Mus musculus: one gene and its partners. The protein of the gene in region 1 purifies or fractionates together with the protein of each later gene. This does not show direct contact. Links are inferred from orthologs where the notes say so. Each region holds a gene or a part of one and is shown on either strand. Other genes may lie near its edges.

Region 1 (6,360 bases):
TTACTGAAGAAACTACACTATTCAGGCCACTGGAGCTACTAGAAAGAGAGTCTAAAGCCAGGCAGTGGTGGTGCACACCCTTAATCCAGCACTTTGGCAGAGACAGGTGGATCTCTGAGTTCGAAGCTAGCCTGGTCTACAGAAAAAGTTTCAGGACAGCGAGGGATACACAAAGAAACCCTGACTTATTTATATTTTTTAAAGATGTATTTGATTTATATGAGTACACTGTAGCTGTTTCCAGACACACCAGAAGAGGGCATCAGATCTCTTTACAGATGGTTGTGAGCCACCATGTGGTTACTGGGAATTGAGCTCATGATCTTTGGAAGAGCAGTCAGTGCTCTTATCCACTGAGCCATCTCTCCAGCCCACCCCTTTTAAAAAAATATTTATTTATTTATTAAAGTACACTGTAGCTATCTTTAGACACTCTAGAAGAGGGCGACAGAACTTGTTATGGATGGTTGTGAACCACCATGTGGTTGCTGGGAATTAAACTCATGACCTTTGGAAGAGGTCATCTCTCCAGCCCCAAACTCTGACTTATAAAGAAGATGACAAAAAGGAGGAGGAGGAGGGGGGCCAGGTGGTGGTGTCGCACGCCTTTAATCCCAGCACTTGGGAGGCAGAGACAGGTGGATTTCTGAGTTCGAGGCCAGCCTGGTCTACAAAGTGAGTTCCAGGACAGCCAAGACTATACAGAGAAACCCTGTCTCGGAAAAAAAAAAAAAAAAAAAAGGGAGGAGGAGGAGGAAGAGGGTACAAAATTTAGGTTCATAATAAGCCAATTCTTAGCTCTACAAACATATTAGTGTTCCAACAAGAACTCAAGGCGGGGCCCTGATTACTCCTGTTTCCATATGGCAGTGGGGACGTGAGTTTTAGCAAAGAGACATATTCTGCCCAAGTGATAAAGCTCAGATTCCAAGGCAGGAGTTTTAAGTCAAGGCAGAGTCGCAATCCAGTGTGTCTCGAGTACACGACCTGGATCCATTCAACATGTGAGCGGGCAGCTGGAAGGAGGGCGAGGTCGGCACTGTTCTACCCAGATGCTCCACTTCAGACAATGGCCCTGTCCTCACTTCCTTTAGGTTTTCATTAACCTGGCCCTGCTGATGCAGGAGGCAGAGCTTCGGGGGAGTCCTTCCCTGGCTATGTGGCTGGTCAATGGCTTCCAGTTGCTGTATGTGGGTGATGCCCTCTGGTATGAGGTGAGACTGGATTGGAGAGCAAGAGGCAAGCAGGGGATCTTGAGGATGTCATCTGGACTAAGCCAGTATCTGGGTCATGTTCCTGCAGGAGTCTGTCCTCACCACCATGGACATAATACATGATGGTTTTGGCTTCATGCTGGTCTTTGGAGATCTAGCTTGGGTACCATTCACCTACAGCCTGCAGGCCCAGTTCCTGTTGTACCATCCACAGCCTCTGGGGTTGCCCATGGCCTTGCTCATCTGCCTCCTTAAGGGTCAGTAGGAGGGCCCTTCATTTCCCCTTCCCCTTCTATTCATGCTTTATTCAGTACCCCTCAGGTAGGGCCTAGGCTCTGACGCTTCTCTAAAGCTGGAAGCCAGCTCCTGGGTATCATAGCAGAGCCTGGGATTTGGACAGGCTTTGGTCAGGGTTAGGCAAAAGGCTGGGACTCCTACCTCACCACCTGCTCGTACCGTACCTTCCCTCAGTTATTGGTTACTACATCTTCCGAGGGGCCAACTCCCAGAAAAACACATTCAGGAAGAATCCTTCTGACCCCAGCGTGGCTGGTAAGCTGGGTCTCTTAGAGGTTATGGGTGAGATGAACCAGGAAGGCTCTGTGGTTCCGTTTCATTAGCTGTATTTCTAGGTCTTGAGACCATCCCGACTGCCACGGGGAGGCAGCTGCTGGTGTCTGGGTGGTGGGGTATGGTTCGACACCCCAACTACCTGGGAGATCTCATCATGGCTCTGGCATGGTCTTTGCCCTGTGGTGAGTGGGTTTTGGAGTAGGTCGGTGTGCCTGGTGGGAGGACTGACTAATCAGTTAATGGAGGTGGACACAAAACCTATGACCCGACACCCTGTGTGCCATCAGCTGTGAAAGCTTTTATATGAAATGGGTGCTAGTGCCTGATCATGCAGCCCCTTCCCACCAGGGCTATCCCATGGGTCCCTTCCCTCCAGGGCTATCCCATGGGTCCCTTCCCTCCAGGGCTATCCCATGGGTCCCTTCCCTCCAGGGCTATCCCATCTGCTGCCCTACTTCTACGTCCTCTACTTCACTGCACTGCTGGTGCACCGCGAGGCCAGAGATGAGCAGCAGTGCCTCCAAAAGTATGGCCGTGCCTGGCAGGAGTACTGCAAGCGTGTGCCTTACCGAATCATACCCTATGTCTACTGAAGCAGGTCCACCTAAGAGGTTGAAAGCAAGAGGAAGCCACTGCTTCCAGAAGGAAAGTATTTTTCCCTGTTGAATAAATGTTTTCAACCTTTCCTGTGTTTTTCTTCTATCCTGGGGCCAGTGACTTGAGGCTTGGGGGTGACTAGTTGACTAAGGAAAGCTTAGAAGTGGTTTGTGGGTCCAAAAGTCTGACGAGGAGAGACAACTGGGCACCTCAGGCCTGGGGGATGTGATGTAGTTCAGTTATAGAGTGCTTGTGTAGCACACAGGACGCCTCGGCTATTCAGCACTGTGTACATTAGCAAGGTGGTTAACCCCTGTAACCTCTCACTGTCCAGGTGGGTGACAGATCAAAGTTCCAGGGTCATCCTCAACTACACAGTAACTTCAAGAGAAGCCTAGGACAGGGCACTATCTTTACGGAAAAGGCACTGCTGACATTCGGGCAGACCAGACACATCTTTATTAATGACATGGATACCCAGTTCAGCCAGGGAGTTCCTCAATGAGAGTCCTTGGAGTGGGTGGCACTGGGCCTCCCCAAAGCCGTTCTAACTCTCCAGTAAGCGTTGCCATCTCCTCAGCTGTCACAGCATGGGCTCGGTGGGCTCTGGCACAGTCTAGCGCCAGGGGTGTGAGGGCAGCCTCGTTTTCGTTGGTCCAAGCCAGCAGGAACTGGCACTTCTTCCGAGCCCGGTAAAGTCGATCTCGCTCTCCACCAATCACAGCCTGCTTCCGGGCTCGTCCCAGGGTCTGAGCTAGGTGCCCCAGTGCTGTCAGAGTGTAGCCTTTCTGATTGACTGGACCCTCGCCCAGCAGGATTCGGGCAACTTCTTGCATAGCACCCCGCGTACCCAGGGGCCCAGGTGGGTGCTCGCCCGCTTCCAGTACGTGGGCTGCGGCCTGCAGGGCTTCCTCTGTAGAGCCAAAGACTTGCTGGGCTCCCAGGGCCCCAGAAACATCGAGCAGGGTGGCACAGAAGTCAGAGAGTAGCGCGTCGTCGTCCCCTCCATGATACAGGGCGAGAGTATGAGCGTAGGCGAACAGCACGTTGGGCAGCTGGAAGCGCACCAGCGGCGATGCCGGGCTGCGGCTCAGACTGGCCAGTGCTGGGATGCGAGCAGGCAATGCTAGCGGTCTGGCGGCACAGGAGTCTTCAGCAAATGGCTCTGCGGCAGCGGCATCATCCCCAGATTGCAGCGCGGTCCTCGCAGGGGCGGGCTCCGGCTCCGCAAGATCTCTGTTCGCGGCATGATCCAGCTCCTCCAGCAAACGTGGGCCGGTGCCGCGGCCCCACCACCAGGGCCGCCACGGAGGCAGAAGGCGTCCGGCTTCGCCACGGCTCAGCAGCCGCTCGAACGCCGCCTTCTCAGCCGGCGTTAAACGTTCCCAAAGTCCAGAAAGGCCGCCCGGCCGCGCCCCGGGCCCGAGGCCTGCTTCCTCGGGCTCATCCTCGGCCTCGCGTTGTTCGCGCAGCCGGCGTAACGCGCCCGCCAGACGGCTGGGCGAAGCGCTTCGGCCACGGAGCTCTCGCAGCACTTGGTCGCGGTAAAAGTCTTCGGCGCAGGCGCCGTGCGCCCGGTAGCAGCGCAGCGAGCAGTAGGGAGCATTGCAGCGCGGGCAGGTGTAGCGCGCAGGCAGCGCTTCCCCGGCCGGGCAGAAGCCGCAGAGCCCAGCGGGCTCCATGGAAACTGGTGCCGCCTGTCCCGTATCAGCTCCGCCACTTCCGGCGCTTCTTTGGTTATTTCCGCCTTTATGTGTGGGGGTGGTTGGCGGGCGTGGCCTCCTTTCCGCACATTTCCGAAACTTCTCGGTAACTTTCGTGTCTCCAGTACTTCTTTGAGCAAGCGCAGAAGTCGTCCAAACTCTTCCAAAGGAACAGGTTTGCTCGCCGAATTTGGGAAAATCATGTCGCTAATCCCAGTTTGTTCTTTATGGTTGTACCAAATTGTACAAAAATAAACTACCTTTTAAATAACAAAACTAACCACCACCACCACCAAACAACACACCAGGGTCTTAGCAGGGCGTAGTGGCATACGCTTTTAATCCCAGCGTTGGCAAAGGTAGTCTGATTTCTGTGAGTTCCTGTAGTCAGTGCTTTCCAGGATACAGCTACATAGTCATGCTCTATCTTGAAAAAAGAAAAGGCCAACAAAATAATAACAACAGGCCGGACAGTGGTGGCGCACGCCTTTAATCCCAGCACTTGGGAGGCTGAGGCAGGCGGATTTTTGAGTTACGAGGCCAGCCTGGTCTACAGAGTGAGTTCCAGGACAGCCAGGGCTACACAGAGAAACCCTGTCTCGAAAAAATATTATTGATAATAATAACAGACAAAAATAAATGAATAAACCCGACATGTTTAACAAATCTGGAGCTCAAAATACGTAACACGTAAGCATATCAAATTGAGGCCAGCCTGGGCCTATGTGAGACCCTGAATCAAACAAACAAACAAACAAAAAACAACAAAACGATAACGAGGGGCTGGAAAGATGGCTTAGCAGTTAAGAGCACTGACTACTTCCAGAGGTCCTGAGTTCAAATCCCAGTAACCACATGGTGGCTCACAACCATCCATAATGAGATCTGATGCCCTCTTCTGAGGTGTCTGAAGTCAGCTACAGTGTACTTACATATAATAAATAAATCTCTTTTAAAAACCAACAATGTGGGCTGGTGAGATGGCTCAGTGGGTAAGAGCACCCGATTGCTCTTCCAAAGGTCCCGAGTTCAAATCCCAGAAACCACATGGTGGCTCACAACCATCTGTAATGAGATCTGACTCCTTCTGGAGTGTCTGAGGACAGCTACAGTGTACTTACATATAATAAATAAATAAATCTTAAAAAACAAACAAAAAAAAAAAAACAATGTTTTCCCTCAAGTTGTGTTGAAATTTAGTTTGTATTGTTAAGCATTATGAGGTCTATAGAGGGGTAGATGGGTGATCTGCCTTAGTGGATCATCTATAGGGCATGCCTGTAACAAAAACACTAGTGCCGTCATAATGGAAAGTGAACCAACACAAACCCAAAAGCTGTCTGGCAGAGCCCATAGAATCTGTACCTTTCCAATACCACTTGTCACATTTCTGTATTTCGGCTCAGCTATCCTTTCAGTAAACACATCCTCTGTGATCTTCTAAGGATTCCTTGTTTTTTTGTTTTGTTTTTCAAGACAGGGCTTCTCTGTGTAGCCCTGGCTGTCCTGGAACTCACTTTGTAGACCAGGCTGGCCTCCAACTCATAAATCCACCTGCCTCAGCCTCCCAAGTGCTGGGATTAAAGGCGTGCCCCACCACTGCCCCCCCCCTTTTTTTCCTACTTGAGACCAAGGCACTTTGCTAGCCTCTAGTCACAGCCTTACAAATGAAGAAAACATAAGAAGTCTGGACACAGTGGCTTTATTAGCATGGCAGGGTGGCAATAGGACTTAGGAATTGGCATTGGGGCCCTTCTTCTTCCCAAAGGTGGGCACAACATTGACAAAGCGCCGGTTGTACTGCATTCGCCTCTTGGCCCGGCCTGTCTTCTTCTTCTTCTTTTCCTGTTTGGCCACCTGAGGAAAGGAAGGACTGATCAGACCCTGGGTGACCTCTCCCATGCCTGCCCACCAGCTTCTCTCCATAAGAGAACACAGACGGGAAATCCAAAGGCCTTCACTTGGCTGTGATAGAAAGAAACAAAGTCCAAACACCAATCACTCACCTTGGGAGTCTGACCTCTCACTTTTCCAGCCCGAGCCAGGGAACCGTGAACTTTACCTGTGTTAGGGGTGGGGAAAGGGATCAGGTTAAGTAGCAAGGTCACGCCCAGAGCAACTCTTCCTCCCTCAACTCTTGAGCTTTTTAATGACAAGTTGGGCCCAACAAAGAATGAAAGTTGCACAGGCTTAGAGACAGGGTCACAACATAGCTGTCCACGTCTTGTCTTCCACTTCAAGTCACAACCAGTTTGTGCAGTGCTGAGAGCTGA
Region 2 (7,043 bases), on another chromosome or scaffold:
AGCTGCCCAGAGATGTAGAAAGGGCTCTGACAGGAGGGAGGTAAACTCAGATGCAGCAGGGCTGGGCTGACCTTGATCAGCTGGGTGTTATGAGGGGCAGTAAGTCTAGGAGGGGCTCCCCATTGTGAACATGTGGAAATGGGGGGATATCTAGCCTTTTCAGTAATAGGTGGGGTTTTCTGAACCACCTTAAGGCTGGGTGAGACCATCTAGTGCCAATAACAGGACCTCTGAGCTGGGGAAACATGGCTGGGTCACAAGACCCAGCCCTCTTGCCCTAGGAGTGTGTGTATATGTGTGGGTTGAGAGCATAAGTCCATAATTAGGCATCTCTCTCCAATGGGACTCTTTTCCTCCTCTCTCAGGTCTGAAGATCCACGCCCAGTTGGTGCTAGATGGTGGAGGGGCTGTTCTTGAATGCTTATAGGGATGACCTAGTGTTCATCCTATTGCTTGGTGGCCTATTCCAAGCAGGGAGGGGATCTCAATCTCTTTGAGGGTACAGCAGTGCTCCATATCCATAGACAGGCCCCAGATAAAGACTGGAAGGGCAGTAAAGCAAGAGGCCAACAGTTAACTGAGGCCCTGAGAAAGCAGTTAGGACAAAAAGCTCCCCCTTGTGGAGTGACATGGAAGTGTCACAACTGAGGCTGACCCTGCTTTCTACAGAGTGGACTTGATTGCCAAATACATCGGGGGGCTGAGAGAGCAAGAAAAGAGGATCAAGTGTCTGGAATCACAGGCAAGCTAGCAACTCACTATCCATCTTTCTTCCTGGGGTGGGGGCATCCTTCTGGTTCCATGGGAACTACCACAGCCCTGTACCAGCATCCTGGTGGGTAGCATTAGGGCCTGGATAGAGTGGCCTGCCCCTGCCCCAACTCACTTTCGAGACTCATTGTTGTTCTAGAGCTGGTCCAACAAAACCTAGGTTCAGCACCACATCCGGTCACTATCCCTTATCATGCACTATGGGAGGACCTGGTCCAGAGTGTGGAGTCCCAGGGCAGCAGTAGCCCTGGCAGGAGGGCAATCACATGGGAGGAAACCAACCCGGTCCCCCCAGTCCCCACCGAAGTCTCAGTACCTCCCTTGGCTCTCTCCAGGCCAACTACTGTATGCTCCTCTTGTCCTCTATGACGGATACACTGGCTCCAGGAGGCACCTACTCAAGTAAGTATGGGTTCAGGCCATGGGAATGAGATGGGTATGGGCTCCTCCCTTCAGCCACTAGATTAGGGCAAGAGCAAAGCTGCGGGCTGTGTATTGTATTAGGTCCTGCCTTCTCCACCTGTGCTAGAGGTCGGTTACCCTCGGCAGGCCACTGTTCCTTAGTGTCCCAAGGCTCTGCCTAGCACTGGCCTTGCTAGCCTTGCCACTTTCCATGTCCTGGCCCTTGCCTCACTCCTGCCCTGCCCCAGCTGAGGCTCTCCAGCTGAGGGTCCTTTCTCCCTTTCTTGCTCCCAGGCTCTCAGAACTGTGGTTGCAGGAGTCAGCCAGCCTCTGCTAGAGACAGGGAGTACCTAGAGTCTGGCTTGCCACCCTCTGACACCTGAAATGGAGAAACCACTTGCTCTAGAGCCCCAGACCTGGCCACATCGAGTTTTTGGGGCACATCAACCTTCCCCCACTCCCAGCAGCCCCAAGAAATGGTCTTCAAGGCCTTGCTACAGATCACTTCTTGGACATCCCTTCCTAAGAGAATGAAACTCATGTCTTTGGCATCTATTCGGGAGCCTCAGAAGTATCCTCTCCAGCAGGGCAAGATTTTTCATGTCCCACTAAAGCTTTCACTGGCTTGGACTGGACAGCTGGATCTGGCCAAGTCCTACATAGGACACCATCTGCCTGGATGGGGCTATTTAGGTCTAACCCCTGTCTTACCCTGAGTTCCTAAGAAGCCAACCTCTTAAACACTAGGTTTCTTTCTGACCCCTGACCCACTCATTAGCTGACCAGCTCCTAGAGGGCAGGACTCAGATCTATTGTAATTACCTCCCATCTTTCACCCCCCACAGCATTATCTGTCTGATCATTCTGGCAGAAACCCCAAGATATTGCTCAAGGGTACCCAATGCTACTTTACTTTCTATAAAGCCTGTAGACCACCTCAAATCAGCTAAACTGGGCCACAATGGTGGCTAAACGGGACATTTCAAACACCCGGGGAATATGGAGGATTGTCTGACCTAGTGAAAGGCATCTCCGTTCCTTCCACTGCTCCTCAAATTAAATGACCATCCAGGTCCTTTTTAGAGGAACTCAGAGAATGGGGACTACAGAGGCTGGGGCAGACCTGGGTCTTAGCAGGTCTAGCTAACTTGGTCCAAGTCCCTGGCCTCCACAGGAAACATTCGCTCATGCATCCTCCCTGCATCCTTCTCTTCTTCTCTGGCTCAGCTTCAGTGGAATGACCCAGCATCAGCTGTGTCTTACACACACAAGTCCTGGAGACACAGCCAGACACCAACCATATGCTGCTTCACAACTCATCCTCTTCCTATAACCTGTGGTCTGTACAGGCCCAGTGCTGGGGCTGCATTGGTTTCTGGGGGTGGGGGTGGGGGTGGGTTGTGCAGATTATGCTCATTCACTACCATCAGGGGCACAAGGCTGAACACAGCTAAGAGCCCAGTCCCTCTGGGTAGTTTCATCAGTGACAAATGTAAATGACCATGGCAAACCTTCACGGCAGTCCTCACTGGAGTGGGGAAGGCAAGGTGAGGCTGCCAGAGATGCAGTCCTGTAGTTGGCTGCCCAGGACTGTTTGGACAGAACTCTTTGAGTGGGGCCCGGAAAAAGCCACACAATTCAAGAAATATTCCAAACGTTTATTATTCATCCTAAACACTGGGGCACAAAGGCCTTCGAGGTCCCCTGACCCACAATTCCCACAGTCTCTGCCAGAGCGGCTGCACACATCCCCCTACCACAGACAGCCCACACCTTCCCACTTGGACTAGCAGGTGAGGGGTAGAGTGATAGCACTGCAGTCAAACTGAGGGTCCTCTCTCAGACCCCGGCCCCCCAGGGTTACCGTCCCTGTTCCGGAAGTGGTCTCTGCTCCGCTTCTTGCTGCCATGGAAACCAACAGCCTTCACACCTATGGGGCCTGATGAGGACTCAGGATGGGCAGCTTCTGAAGGTACCACCACCTCTGGCTGTCCCTGGTGGCCACTCCATTCCTCAGCCTCAGGTCCAGCGAGATGGGCTAGCTCCACAGCGGCCTCACCCCCCGCACCTGACCCAACCCCCTTCTTTAGGACCCTCTTCCTCTCAGCCCTAGCCTCACTGTCCCTCACTGGTTTGGTGAAGACCACTCTTCCCTCCCCACAGCTAGAGGGGTCCTGGTTGAAAGAAGGCACATAGTCTGTGTGGGACACCTGGCTTCGAGAGCTCAGGAAGGCCAGGGCAGCATCACGATTGCTCTGCTCACTGGCTTCAGACACATCCTCCAGACTGTATTTGGTCCAACGCTCAGGGTGTGACACATAGTCAGGGACTGGGAGTACCCTAGTCGGGCCAGTGTTCCCATGCACTCTGCTCAGGCCCCTTGCTGGAGTCTGACTTGGGGGAGTCACGGGCCGCCTGAAGCTGCCATTGTCACTCACACTGGTTTGGGGAGCAGAGCACGGTGCCTGCCGGGCTGCACTCTCCAGACAATCAAAGATGCTGTGGCTGCGCTGGGAGAAGGTAGAACTCATGCCTCGGAGGTGGAATGGCTGCACTGCAGTGGTGAGGGTGCCCGTGGGGGGCGATGGAGGGTCCTCAGGGCCGGAGTCCTCCTGGCCCTCCTCCGAAAGCCTCTCTGGGGACAACACTTGGACCTCCACACCACTAGGTAAGCTAAGGTCCGAGTCCGAGTCGCTGAGGGAGACGGTGTCAGAAGGCAGGGTGTCATCCTCGGTGGGTTCATCAGCCTCCAGGCCAGCCTCTGTCTCCGCCATACGACCTGACACCCGTCCCACCTGTAGCGAAGCAGTCCCAGTTCCGCCGTGAGGGGTGTATTTAAGGCCTCATCCCTCCCCGTCCTCCCAGGCTCCCGTCTTTCACCTCCACTATGTGTCAAGTGCCTCTACTCACAGCCGGACGGGAGGCCTCGCGAAGCTGGGTGGTTAAAGGGTATCCTAGCGCGCACAGATACAGGAGCTGCAGGTTAGGTGGGGTTAAGGAGAGAGTCAACCATGAGATCATAACAGTGTGGACATACAATAGATGAGCACTGGGAGATGCTGGTGACAGGAGATCTCCATCAGCTGCTTGTCCCATCACGGGCTCTCAGTAAAGCGCAGCCTCTCTAGGTACAAGCGCCACCCGGGTCCGGACGAAGGGCTGGCAGAAACAGGCACGGGAATGCCCTGGCCGCGGCCTTAGGGAGGCCAGTGCTCACCGTTCCAGCGTCCGTACACGCCTCAATACCCTGCCGCCTTTCTCGCAGCGTCCCGCCAGTTCCCCGGGATTCGGTCCTGTCCAGTCTCGCTCGGGTTCCTGGGAAACCGAGTCTCGGGCGATCAGATTTTCGTGGCTTCAGCGCCCGAGAAACTACAACTCCCAGAAGGCAATGGGTTCCCGCCTAATGTCAGCCGGGACTTGTAACCTTAACAAGCGTGCCAACCCGGAGCGCACACGGAAACCCACCCAGAAATGACGAAAAAGGAAAAGGCGGAGCCACGGTTCCCACAATACTCCAGGGCTAACTGCCAATCGCAAAGGGTTGAGGCCTGCAGCTTCGCCTGTCGGAAGCCGTCCCGGCCGGGTCCGACACAAGGAGGAAGTGCGTCACCACGCACTGTGAGCGCCAACCAGTTTCCTAGACATTTCCGGCCCTGGGCGGAAGTGGTGTGGGTCTTGTGCTTTGTTGGCTTTCTGGAGTGAGGCGGGGCCAAGGTCCTGGTTGGCTCTTGGCATGAAGAGACGTAGTGGTCCCTGGGGTGGGTTGGTTGGGGCTTCAGAGATTCGAAGCCGCTATCCTGGGCTCTGCCTGTCTGTGCTTCCTGACGCAGGAACGGACACTTTAGTTGCAGGACGCCGCCCCTACTAGTCAAGGCCACACATAATCCTCCTCCAGGCGTGGGGCTGTTTTCTTGTATCCTTAGGGATCAGAGTCTGAGACACCATGGGGCTGCTGCATGCGCCTCTCCTTTCCTATGTTTCTGAAGCTGTGCAGCAGGCCTCCAACAGCTTTGGCCTGGTGCCCATGGACCTCATAACATAGGATATAAAGGGCTCCTCAGACCAGAAACCAACCAAGCACGGAACAGGTTGCATAGGCGTGGGAGGTAGAGGTGGCGGAGACCTAGAATGTCCTAGTACAAGCTTGGGGTTCACCGACAAATAAGCCTACTGGGAGGCTGCTAGAAGCTGGGCCATGAATCTTGGCTAGGGCGTCTCTCCTCTAGTGGCCAATTAACTATGCCAGCAGCCTGGGGGAGGGGCGCAGACAGGAGACAAAGGGAAAGAGACAGTGGTGGTTGCCCCTGGCGTCCGGGAGGTTGCTTAGCCTGATCCTCAGTTCACAGGGGTAAGTGAACTGCCATCTTGCCTTTTACTTATTGAGACACAAGCCAGAGCCACCCAGCTCCGTGGAATCTTTTCTTGAGATGGATGGGGTAATGGGCTAACCTTTACTGTCTTGTCCCTGAAAAGGAGGGTGTTCTTGCAGCTTATCTCCATCATTCTGTGCTGAATTTCCCTGCTTAGGTGGCTCCTCCTACCCGACTCAGCCTGACCTGTCATGTCCAACAGATGAGTGGAAATGAGGTCAAGGCTGGCGTAAAGTCAGCATTGAGCTCCCAGTATAAGGAGGTACAAATGAGGGAGGACCCATATGGAGTGCTCCCAGGGTCCCAGCCCTCCCCACCCACTGTGTTCCACAGCCTCTATTGGACCTGCTCACCCTGTGCCTGGCAAAGTTCAGAGCTGATGAGCCAGGTCTCTGACACCGCTAGCACAGGAAGAGGTCTGGCAGTCCCATTAGCATGCCTGATTTTTTTCCTCCTTTATTAAATGACTGTTTCAAGATTTAATTACAGTTGAAGGTGACACGTTAGAAAGAATAAGTGCATTGAAGGCATAAGAGGGCTTACAAACCCAGCTCTTGAAATGGAGGCAGGAAAGGAACAAAGATTAAAAAGATGTGAGCAATGTGACCCACAGTGGGTTGAGTGGGTGGGCATGGCCCTCTAGCTAGGCTACAAAGCCTCTGGGCAAGTAGCTGTAGAGGAGGTTTGGCTCAGCAGGCAGAACTCTCCAGGGGTCCCAGACGTACAGGGCCCTGCAAGCCAGGGCCAGCTCCACCCCTACATCCCACATATGCCACCCATGTGTGATGTCAGCTCCCAAAAGGTAACAGGAAAAGTTCAGGACAAAAAAAAAAACTAAAACAAAAACAAAACAAAACAAAACAAAAAACTCAAAAGTAAAAAGACTAAGTGTAGCAGAGTGATACAGAAATATTATATACACAGGCCATGTCCCCCAAGGTGGCCTCTGGTCACTCCAGGGATCCTCTGGTGCAATGCAAAGGGCCTCAGTACACGGAGCTGTTCCGGATGCCACAGCACAGCACCATGCTCAGAATCATCTCAAAGATCTGCAGGAGGGAGGGGCATAGTCAGCACCTAAGGCCCTGGGAAGGATCCCACCCACCCACCAGAGACCCTGTGCTTACCATAATGACAGCTACCACAATGGCTGCAATTCCAATGAGGTACAGCTTCCCAGAGAAGAGCTCATCGATTTTCTGATGACAATCTTGCTGCAGGGATGGCAAGAGCGTGGTTAACCATCAGTGGCTAAGTCACAGCCACCACCCTACTCAGTGACAGGACCTATGTATCACAGCTTATCTTCCACCCCAAAACAAATTTAAGACACACGGACCTGCTGCCTGCAGCCTTTTGTCACAGGGGAGTGTTTTTTTACCTCACTAGCACCCTAGGGTCACCAGGGTATGAGGGACCACTCAAGAGAACAGTTTTCTGGGATGTTGCAGGGGTTAACTCAAGCTGTGAGGACCCGGTACCCCAGTAATAGAGATGGTC
Region 3 (7,611 bases), on another chromosome or scaffold:
GCAATGATTAGAATTCAAAAGCAGCAAAAGCTAAGCTAAGAAGGTTTTGCTAGAGGAACTGAACTCTCAGTGTCTTTCCTAGAAAACCAAGTCGCAGAAGAACAGAAAGAAAACAGTCAGCTTTTCAATCTGCCCCGAATATGAACAATTTCTGCCAGAGCTCAGACAAAAATTACTAAAAGAAAACAAATATAATCACTTATGCTTTAAAATGAGAATCCCTTTAGAATAATTAAAATAATGACAATACCTGGCCACTAACTCTGGAAATTCCTTTGTAATCTGCTTTATTACATAAACAATAAACCATTCATCCTCAATGTTATCTCCAAACTTTGTCATGCCGTACATATGAGCAGGAACACCTCCTGTAAACAAGAGAGAAGTGACTGTGAGCCAGGCAAGTGTGTCCCTGCAAGGAAAAACATACTTAACACTTGTTTACCATGGCTAAATTGCAAGGATTACTCTGGGAGCTGGGGTTGCAATTCTGAGCAAGATATGAGGAGTCTGGGTCTCAAAAAAGGAACAGAAAACCAAACCGTCTTTAAAAACCCACTAACGGTTGTGTGAACATAGAGGAGGCTCCTGCTTCATTTTGTACGGTAATAACAGCGGAAGAACAATCAGAGATGGACTTTCCAGAAAGGAGAGCATGGCCAGAGGCATGGAGTTACAGGAGATAAGGGAGTGTCACAGGATATAAGGATTCTGTTTCGGTGGAACAGAACCTCTCAAATAGGTGCACCCTAAGTACACAGATGCTAAACATCACATTCTTAAACAACCAAAAGCCAAAAAGAAAATCACAGGAGAAGTGAAAAAATAGCTTGGAACAAATGAAAAATGAAAGTATTATATATGAAAATTCATATATAGCTTTGTGGGAAGCCACCCCCACATTCGCCGTTACAAGATGGCGCTGACAGCTGTGTTCTAAGTGGTAAACAAATAATCTGCGCATGTGCCAAGGGTAGTTCTCCACCCCATGTGCTCTGCCTTCCCCGTGACGACAACTCGGCCATGGGCTGCAGCCAATCAGGGAGTGATACGTCCTAGGCGAAGGATAACTCTCCTTAATAGGGACGGGGTTTCGCTTTTGCTTTGGGCTTGCTCTCTTGCTCCTAAAGATGTAAACAATAGAGCTCTTGCTCTGCGCTCTGGCGCTCTGGCTCCTAAAGATGTAAGCAATGGGGGGCTTGCACTCTTACTCCTGAAGATGTAAGCAATAAAGTTTTGCCGCAGAAGATTCTGGTTTGCTGTGTTCTTCCTGGCCGGTCGTGAACGCGTGTAAGATAGCTTAGCAAAAATCATTAAAGTAACAGTTTACAGTTATGTAAGATCTCAAACCAGCACTCCCACTTTAGGAAAGAAGAAAAACATCAAACAAAGCATAAACCTAGCAGGAGAAACAAGACAATCACAGCAGAGATAAATGAAACAAACTGAGGGTTGTTTTTTTAAATGGGAGAAGAGGTCAGTAAAATTACACTAAGAAGAGACAACTAAATTCAGATGTGAAAGAGGAGACATTATACTCTCTCTGTAGAGTATAAAAGGTTACAAGGGAATCTATGAATGTCTTTATTCCAAGAAATTGGGAAAGCTATAAGAAATGAAATTAATAAACCCCTAATTAAGGTCTTGATGCAATCAAGAAGAAGTAGAAAGTATTATCAGACTTATAACTATGATGGATATTGGATCAGCAATCAAAAGCCTCTATCTAACAGCTGAGCATAGTGGCACACACCCATAATCCTAGCGCTAGGGAGGCTGAGGCAGGAGGATTGTGAGTTTGAGGGCAGGCTGAGTTACAGCAGAGCCAAGTGATCTCTCTGAAACCATAAGCAAAATAAGTCCTTAAGTTGATTTTTCTCAGGTATTTTTTTTTTATCACAACACTGAAAAGATGACTAACCAGATTCAACAACACATTGAAAGGGGTTATAATACTACAGTCGATTGGGGTTTGTTCCCGTACGACAAAAATGGTTCAACATACAGAGTCAACCAACGTCTCAGTGGCTGCTCTCCCAGAGGATCTGGGTGCAATTTCTAGCACCCACATGGTGGCTCACAAACATTGGCGACCCCAGTTGCCTCTGTCTGAGGGCACTGTGTGAATGACCTGTACTGACATACGTATGTGCAAACACCCAAGCACATAAAATAAACAAAAAGTTAAGGAATCAATCGATGTAATGTACCGCATGAAGCTCAGAGAAATGCACTCCAAGGCACCACAGCAACCATGGCAAAAACCAAGCCAAAGAAACAGAGAACCAAAAGATGTGAGAGGAACAACCTCTCAACTTAGCTGCTTCACCAAATCCCCTATCTCTCCAGCTAGAGGAGCTCAGAGCAGAGTACGATTTTCATTTGCATTATATATCAGACTTCAACTGAAACCTCCCCCGCAGCCACAGGAAGCGAGTGGCACAGTCTAATCTGTGCTGTACCAAGGCACCTGCCAATGGTGTGTGGAGCTCAGGGAAGTTCAGAAGCTGGAGTCTCCCACACTGAGACCAAGCCCCTAGTATCTGGAGGTGCTGACACTAGGTCTTCCTGCTCTGTCCCTCACGGCACATAGCAAAGCAAGGACTGTAAATTTGAAATACTAATCATCTTGGGTAACATTCAGCAATGCCATCACATAGTGGAAAATTCAGGGTAAGCCTGGCTTTCTAAAAGATAATAGGTTGTTTTTGTTTGGAAACTGACTCTCACTCTGTGACCCGGGCTGGCCTCAAACTGGTGATTCTCCTGCCTTAGGCCGGAGTGCTAAGATGACAGGTGTGTGCCACCATACCTGTCTAATGGGCTCGTTTTATATGTGGCACATTAATTTGCTCATCTCCCTGTCAATAAACATTGCCTGTATCTAGAAAATAAAATTAGGGTTGGGGAAGTAGCTCAGTGGCAGACCAGTTGCTTAGCAACGCACAAGGCCCCAGGTTCAATGCCCAGTGGTGGAAAAAAGTTCAGTGACAGTAATACCACAGGAGAAACCGAGCGGCTGCTAGCCAAATCTAACACATTAGCACTGAAGTGTGAACAGGAATGGCGGGATCCAAAGATCCAAGGCTCCCGATCCTCAACAGTCACTCTGAGTCACTGAGTAAATACAGCCTGGCTGCACTCATTCATTTTCATAACGTTAGAAGACATGACAGAACAGATGACTGTATTTTGCTAGAGTTGGACGTAAGCACTGGTGACAGCAGTAAAGGACACCGGAAATGCTTCTGGGTGGCAACGGACAGTAACAAAACCCATTTAGTTGTTTTTATTGGCCAGACAAAGTCACTCTTGGATTCTCAGGAAAACAGCTACATGAAACAAAGCAACCTCCCACAGGCATCATGGAGATAAGTCCTGCGCAGAGAAAAAGAACTGTGACTAAGTCCCAAGCCTGGGCCTTCGCAGCACCAGCACTCACACTTAGGCACAGTGAGAGAGTCCATACCACAGCCACAGTCCCCGCATCCCTAGCCATAAAGATATTCTATAGAGTTAAAGTTAGGGGCTTGGCTATATGTGGGCAGACGTCAGTGGCTTTTAAGGTTATGGAACAAGTCTCTCAGAAGGAAGGCTTACTTTACCTTTTGCAGGCTTGTATTTGAGATTGAAAGGCTGATTCTGCCAGATATAAGGGACCAGTATGGGTGCGAACTGGGTCATTATCCGTTCAATGTACTTCTGAAGAATCTCTCTGTGCTCTTCTGTGCCTCTGGCTTTATCTGGTATCAGGAAGAGATGGTACTCCACAGCATCCTCTACCATTGCGAGCTTTCCACTGCCCTCCATTCTTCTCTAAAAATGGCCATCAAAGTTCAAGGGACATAAGCCACACAAAAGGAGAAATAACAGCATTCTCAGAATTCTTCTAGGTGACTACATTATTTCCCCCAAATTTGATACACACCTACCATCATGGTTCCGGCCTTTACCAGACACCACTTGATTTATCCTCTGAATAACAGACTTAAAACTATCTTCCTTAAAATTAAATTATGTGAACTGGAAACCTTGATATTATGGAGTAAATGAAAGTCCAACAACTCACTTCCCAAACCAAAGAAGTATGTGAGGATAAAAGTTAAAAATAGCTAGGTGTGCCTATGGTCTCAGCTGAGAGATCAAGGCAAAAGGATCACCTGGGTCCAGGATTTTGAGGCTAGGCTAGGTAACATAAGACGATCCTTTCTCACAAATAAATAAATGTTTGCCCTTCAGTCGGCAGCAGTGTGTGTAACACAGTTTGAAAACATTCCATTACTATCCATTATTCTCTCACACCTTCCAACCGTGCTTCAGTCGGTGGCATACTTTGGGCACTTTACTTTCTTGAGCTTTCTACTTAGTCGTGAAATGAAAGTGTTAGTCTGCCGTCTCTAAAACACCTTCCTTTAAAATTGTGTTACTAGGTGCGTTAAAAAGCAATGCCCCTTGCTCTACAGGGCTTCTATAGAAGATTTAAAAGTGCCAACACTTGCGTGTCGGAGTTTCGTCCCAAAATAATTGGTCATGGTTCCGGATGCCCACCTAACGCAGCAATTTAATTCCTAAGCTTACTTGGCTTTGCAATGAACCAATAAGGAACCTGCACCTTCTATGCAACTACCCACTCACCACTGTAAATTAGAATCGTGCTGCCTCTCACCCTGGCGGATCAAGGAAAAACTCTACCCACCCTCACCCTAAATCCAAGCAGGGCTCTTTATGTAGAATTTACAGAGTCAGAATTGGACTTGAGATCATGGGAATTAATGAAAAATGACATACCCGAGAGTACAGAAGAGGAGCCACCAGGAGCACTGTCCTGGCGCGGTATAGTGCTCCTTCACCAAACTAGACGCTCTTCTTCCACCTGACAAAAGTAAAGCGATCCCTTTCAATAGCTCTCTCGTGCGCCTCTGCTCTGGCACCTTTCCTTGGCTGCCTCTTCCAGCAGGACACTTGGTCAGAGGCGACCACCAACCGCCCAATCCCGGCCCATGCTGGGTCCTCGCGTTCGCTTGGGCCCTGATCCACGCCTGAACGCCTGCAAGTCGTGAGGCTCGGAACCCTGAGTATAGTCTCTAGTGCGCATCGGAGCCAATTTCCGAAAGACGCTGTACCTTCGTCACTTCCGCTCATGAGAGGAAGGAGGCAGGTCGGAAGACTATAGAGTGGGAACTCTGGGAGGTGGCGGTCCGGAATCTAAGCGACGGGGCGAGACGGGGCGAGACGGGGCCGGTAGGTGGCAGGAGGGGGCCGGGCCGGAGCCGGCGGGAGGGCCAGGCCCCGAGGCCCCCGCCCTGGCTTGCCCGCCCTGGCCGCAGAGGAGAAAAAGGAGGATGATCTCCAGATACACTCGGAAGGCCGTGCCGCAGAGCGTGGAGCTGTGAGTGGATTGCTCTGCTCGCCCAGCTTGGGCCGCCGGAGCTCAAGGGACCTTATAAGGCCCGTCCTCTCCTTTCCCGTCCCAGACATAGGGAGGGAAAATACTATCCCGGATTCTCACCTCCCAGCCCTGGTGGAAGCTGCCTTTTGTCTTTGGGTCACCAGCTTAGGGTGTGCCTTTGGGACTGTTAGGTCCTGAATTGAGGGAGTGCTGCATCCGTTGTTCCCACAGTGCTTTTGACCCCACTGAAGATAATAGCTTAAATGCTACAATAACGTTGAACGTGTCTAGTTCAGAACACCATGCAAAGCTGTTTGCTTGAATGCAATAGCGAAATCAGGTTGAGACCAACTTTGCACATCCTACAAATAAAGATCACAGGTCTAAAGGTTGTATCTAGAAGGTGGTGCAGCTCAGACGTACAAACCAAGGGTCAATCCGATTGTAAAGCCTGTTGTCAAGCAATTCACACATTGCCGTCACACCCCCTGCAAATAATGCTAAAAAGCAAGCACTTTGGTAGTTTAAAAACCTGCTTTGTACCCTTAGTAAAGTGTAACATAGAGCCTTATATCTACTGACTGGTACTTTGCAATTTCAAAAGAACCTGCAGTTTCTTGGTCCTTTCAGCAGTTCTGAAAGATTGCTGTAACTAGCTTCTGTTGCTCAGATAAAATTAGAAAGCTTCCACATCTGAACCCAATAGGGCCTGAACGTTTAAACCAAGTCCCATTGGTCCTCCTCATTGAAGTAAGCAATTTCAACAGCCATACACTTATTATGCATTCCAATAACATTCATTTAAAGTCACACCTGAGATTTTTAGATGGATACTTTTCTTGCCACTTAGCTTTTAGGAAATTTAACTAGATCTGGGCCTTCCTGTCTATGTATACAACTAAGATGTACAAGTATACCTAAAATGATGACGTAGGGCTGGTACATAATAGATCCTCAATAAGTGATAGCACTACTTTCTTCTTCCCGCCTTTACTTGGTAAAAGAGCCATACAAAGAAGAGAACCTCTCCTTGCTTTTCAGAAGCATGTTATCTATTAAGGAATATGTTATTTGCACAACAGCAAATCAGATAATAAGCTCCTTAGGGAATAAAACTAAGAAATAATCATTTCCCCAAAGTGAGAAGGATTTAACTTAAAATCTGCTTTTAATTTTTAAAATTCCATTTAGTGTATCATGCACATGCGCGTGCACCATAGCACACATTTGTTTTTTTGATTTTTTTTTTTTTTTTTTTTTTTTTGGTTTTTTGAGACAGGGTTTCTCTGCGCAGTCCTGGCTGTCCTGGAACTCACTCTTTAGACCATGCTGGTCTTGAACTCAGAAATCCACCTGCCTCTGCCTCCCAAGTGCTGGGATTACAGGTGTGCGCCACCACTGCCCGGCCCATAGCACACATTTGGAGGTTAGTAGACAGCTTCCAAGAGTCACTCATTCCATTATGTGAGTCTTGTTGATTGAACTCAGGTCATGAGGCTTGGTGGCAAGTACCTTTATTTACTGGGCCATCTTATCAGCCCCAGATTTGCTTTTATAATTATTTCTAACCAGAGATGTTAAAAATACATGTTGTATGAAGACACTCTGGATAGGCATCTCCTGAGCTGAAATTTCTGACCCTGTGTATTGTACTACTTGTTCTTGATGCTGTTTTTTATAGTTCCTAAAAATAGCCTTTCCCAAAGGGAATCATAATAGAGTGAGCAATGAGGATTAAATGCATAGAAATGATAGTGTATTTAAATGAATGTTTAATGTTAGCTGTTACAGAGCCCATCCATTTTGAAGTAGTAGCATTCTTTAGCAGTTACTAGTTATAGATGTTAAAAAGGGGTTAGCAAGGTTGATTGTCTCAGTGTAGTCTCCCACACCCTTTTTTGGTTCTGAGAAATGAACTTAGTACCTCAGATATGCTAGGAAGTACCACTGCTAAGCTATATTTCCAGCCTTGACTTTCATTTAAAATTTGTATTTACACATATAAGCAAGGTGTGAGGTTTGTGTGTGTGTGTGACCACCTCAAAATGTAAAACATTCATAATTTTTTAATCATCTACCTGCTGGGCACTACTCCTCTGGAGTCTATTTTCTGCTGGGGCTTGTCTGCTGGAATAAACAATACATTAGTTATTCTATCTTCCAGACATAGTTATCTAGAGCAGGCATTGTTTCCCCACAAAATTGTCTAGTCAGACATACCC

What was found. Proteins that work in one complex are often made in the same cells at the same time.
Region 2: the proteins of Znhit2 (region 1) and Tssc4 purify together in Homo sapiens (affinity purification with mass spectrometry; 3 studies listed by BioGRID and IntAct, counting the BioPlex papers as one, with this or other methods). This does not show direct contact. The link is inferred for Mus musculus from reciprocal best matches to the Homo sapiens genes ZNHIT2 and TSSC4.
Region 3: the proteins of Znhit2 (region 1) and Ecd purify together in Homo sapiens (affinity purification with mass spectrometry; 3 studies listed by BioGRID and IntAct, counting the BioPlex papers as one, with this or other methods). This does not show direct contact. The link is inferred for Mus musculus from reciprocal best matches to the Homo sapiens genes ZNHIT2 and ECD.

Annotation. Positions count from the first base shown.
Region 1 is NC_000085.6:6,058,933-6,065,292, reverse strand, and holds Znhit2 (zinc finger HIT domain-containing protein 2), read right to left. Parts: upstream 4,087-6,360; 5' UTR 4,067-4,086; coding exon 2,867-4,066; 3' UTR 2,825-2,866; downstream 1-2,824. Other genes in the region: delta(14)-sterol reductase TM7SF2, read left to right, coding at 1,095-1,214, 1,303-1,471, 1,686-1,766, 1,847-1,969, 2,220-2,380; Fau (40S ribosomal protein S30), read right to left, coding at 5,819-5,944, 6,094-6,149. UniProt on the Homo sapiens protein: May act as a bridging factor mediating the interaction between the R2TP/Prefoldin-like (R2TP/PFDL) complex and U5 small nuclear ribonucleoprotein (U5 snRNP).
Region 2 is NC_000073.6:143,066,861-143,073,903, reverse strand, and holds Tssc4 (protein TSSC4), read right to left. Parts: upstream 4,537-7,043; 5' UTR 4,391-4,536; exon of another isoform or gene 4,270-4,390; coding exon of another isoform or gene 4,084-4,269; 5' UTR 4,054-4,083; intron 3,969-4,053; coding exon of another isoform or gene 3,948-3,968; coding exon 2,994-3,947; 3' UTR 2,817-2,993; downstream 1-2,816. Other genes in the region: Trpm5 (transient receptor potential cation channel subfamily M member 5), read left to right, coding at 670-742, 1,107-1,173, 1,468-1,556; CD81 antigen, read right to left, coding at 6,530-6,592, 6,671-6,757. UniProt on the Homo sapiens protein: Protein associated with the U5 snRNP, during its maturation and its post-splicing recycling and which is required for spliceosomal tri-snRNP complex assembly in the nucleus.
Region 3 is NC_000080.6:20,343,006-20,350,616, forward strand, and holds the start of Ecd (protein ecdysoneless homolog), read right to left. Parts: upstream 5,117-7,611; 5' UTR 4,789-5,116; intron 3,817-4,788; 5' UTR 3,811-3,816; coding exon 3,606-3,810; intron 369-3,605; coding exon 251-368; intron 1-250. Other genes in the region: Fam149b (protein FAM149B1), read left to right, coding at 5,343-5,389. UniProt on the Homo sapiens protein: Regulator of p53/TP53 stability and function. Inhibits MDM2-mediated degradation of p53/TP53 possibly by cooperating in part with TXNIP. May be involved transcriptional regulation. In vitro has intrinsic transactivation activity enhanced by EP300.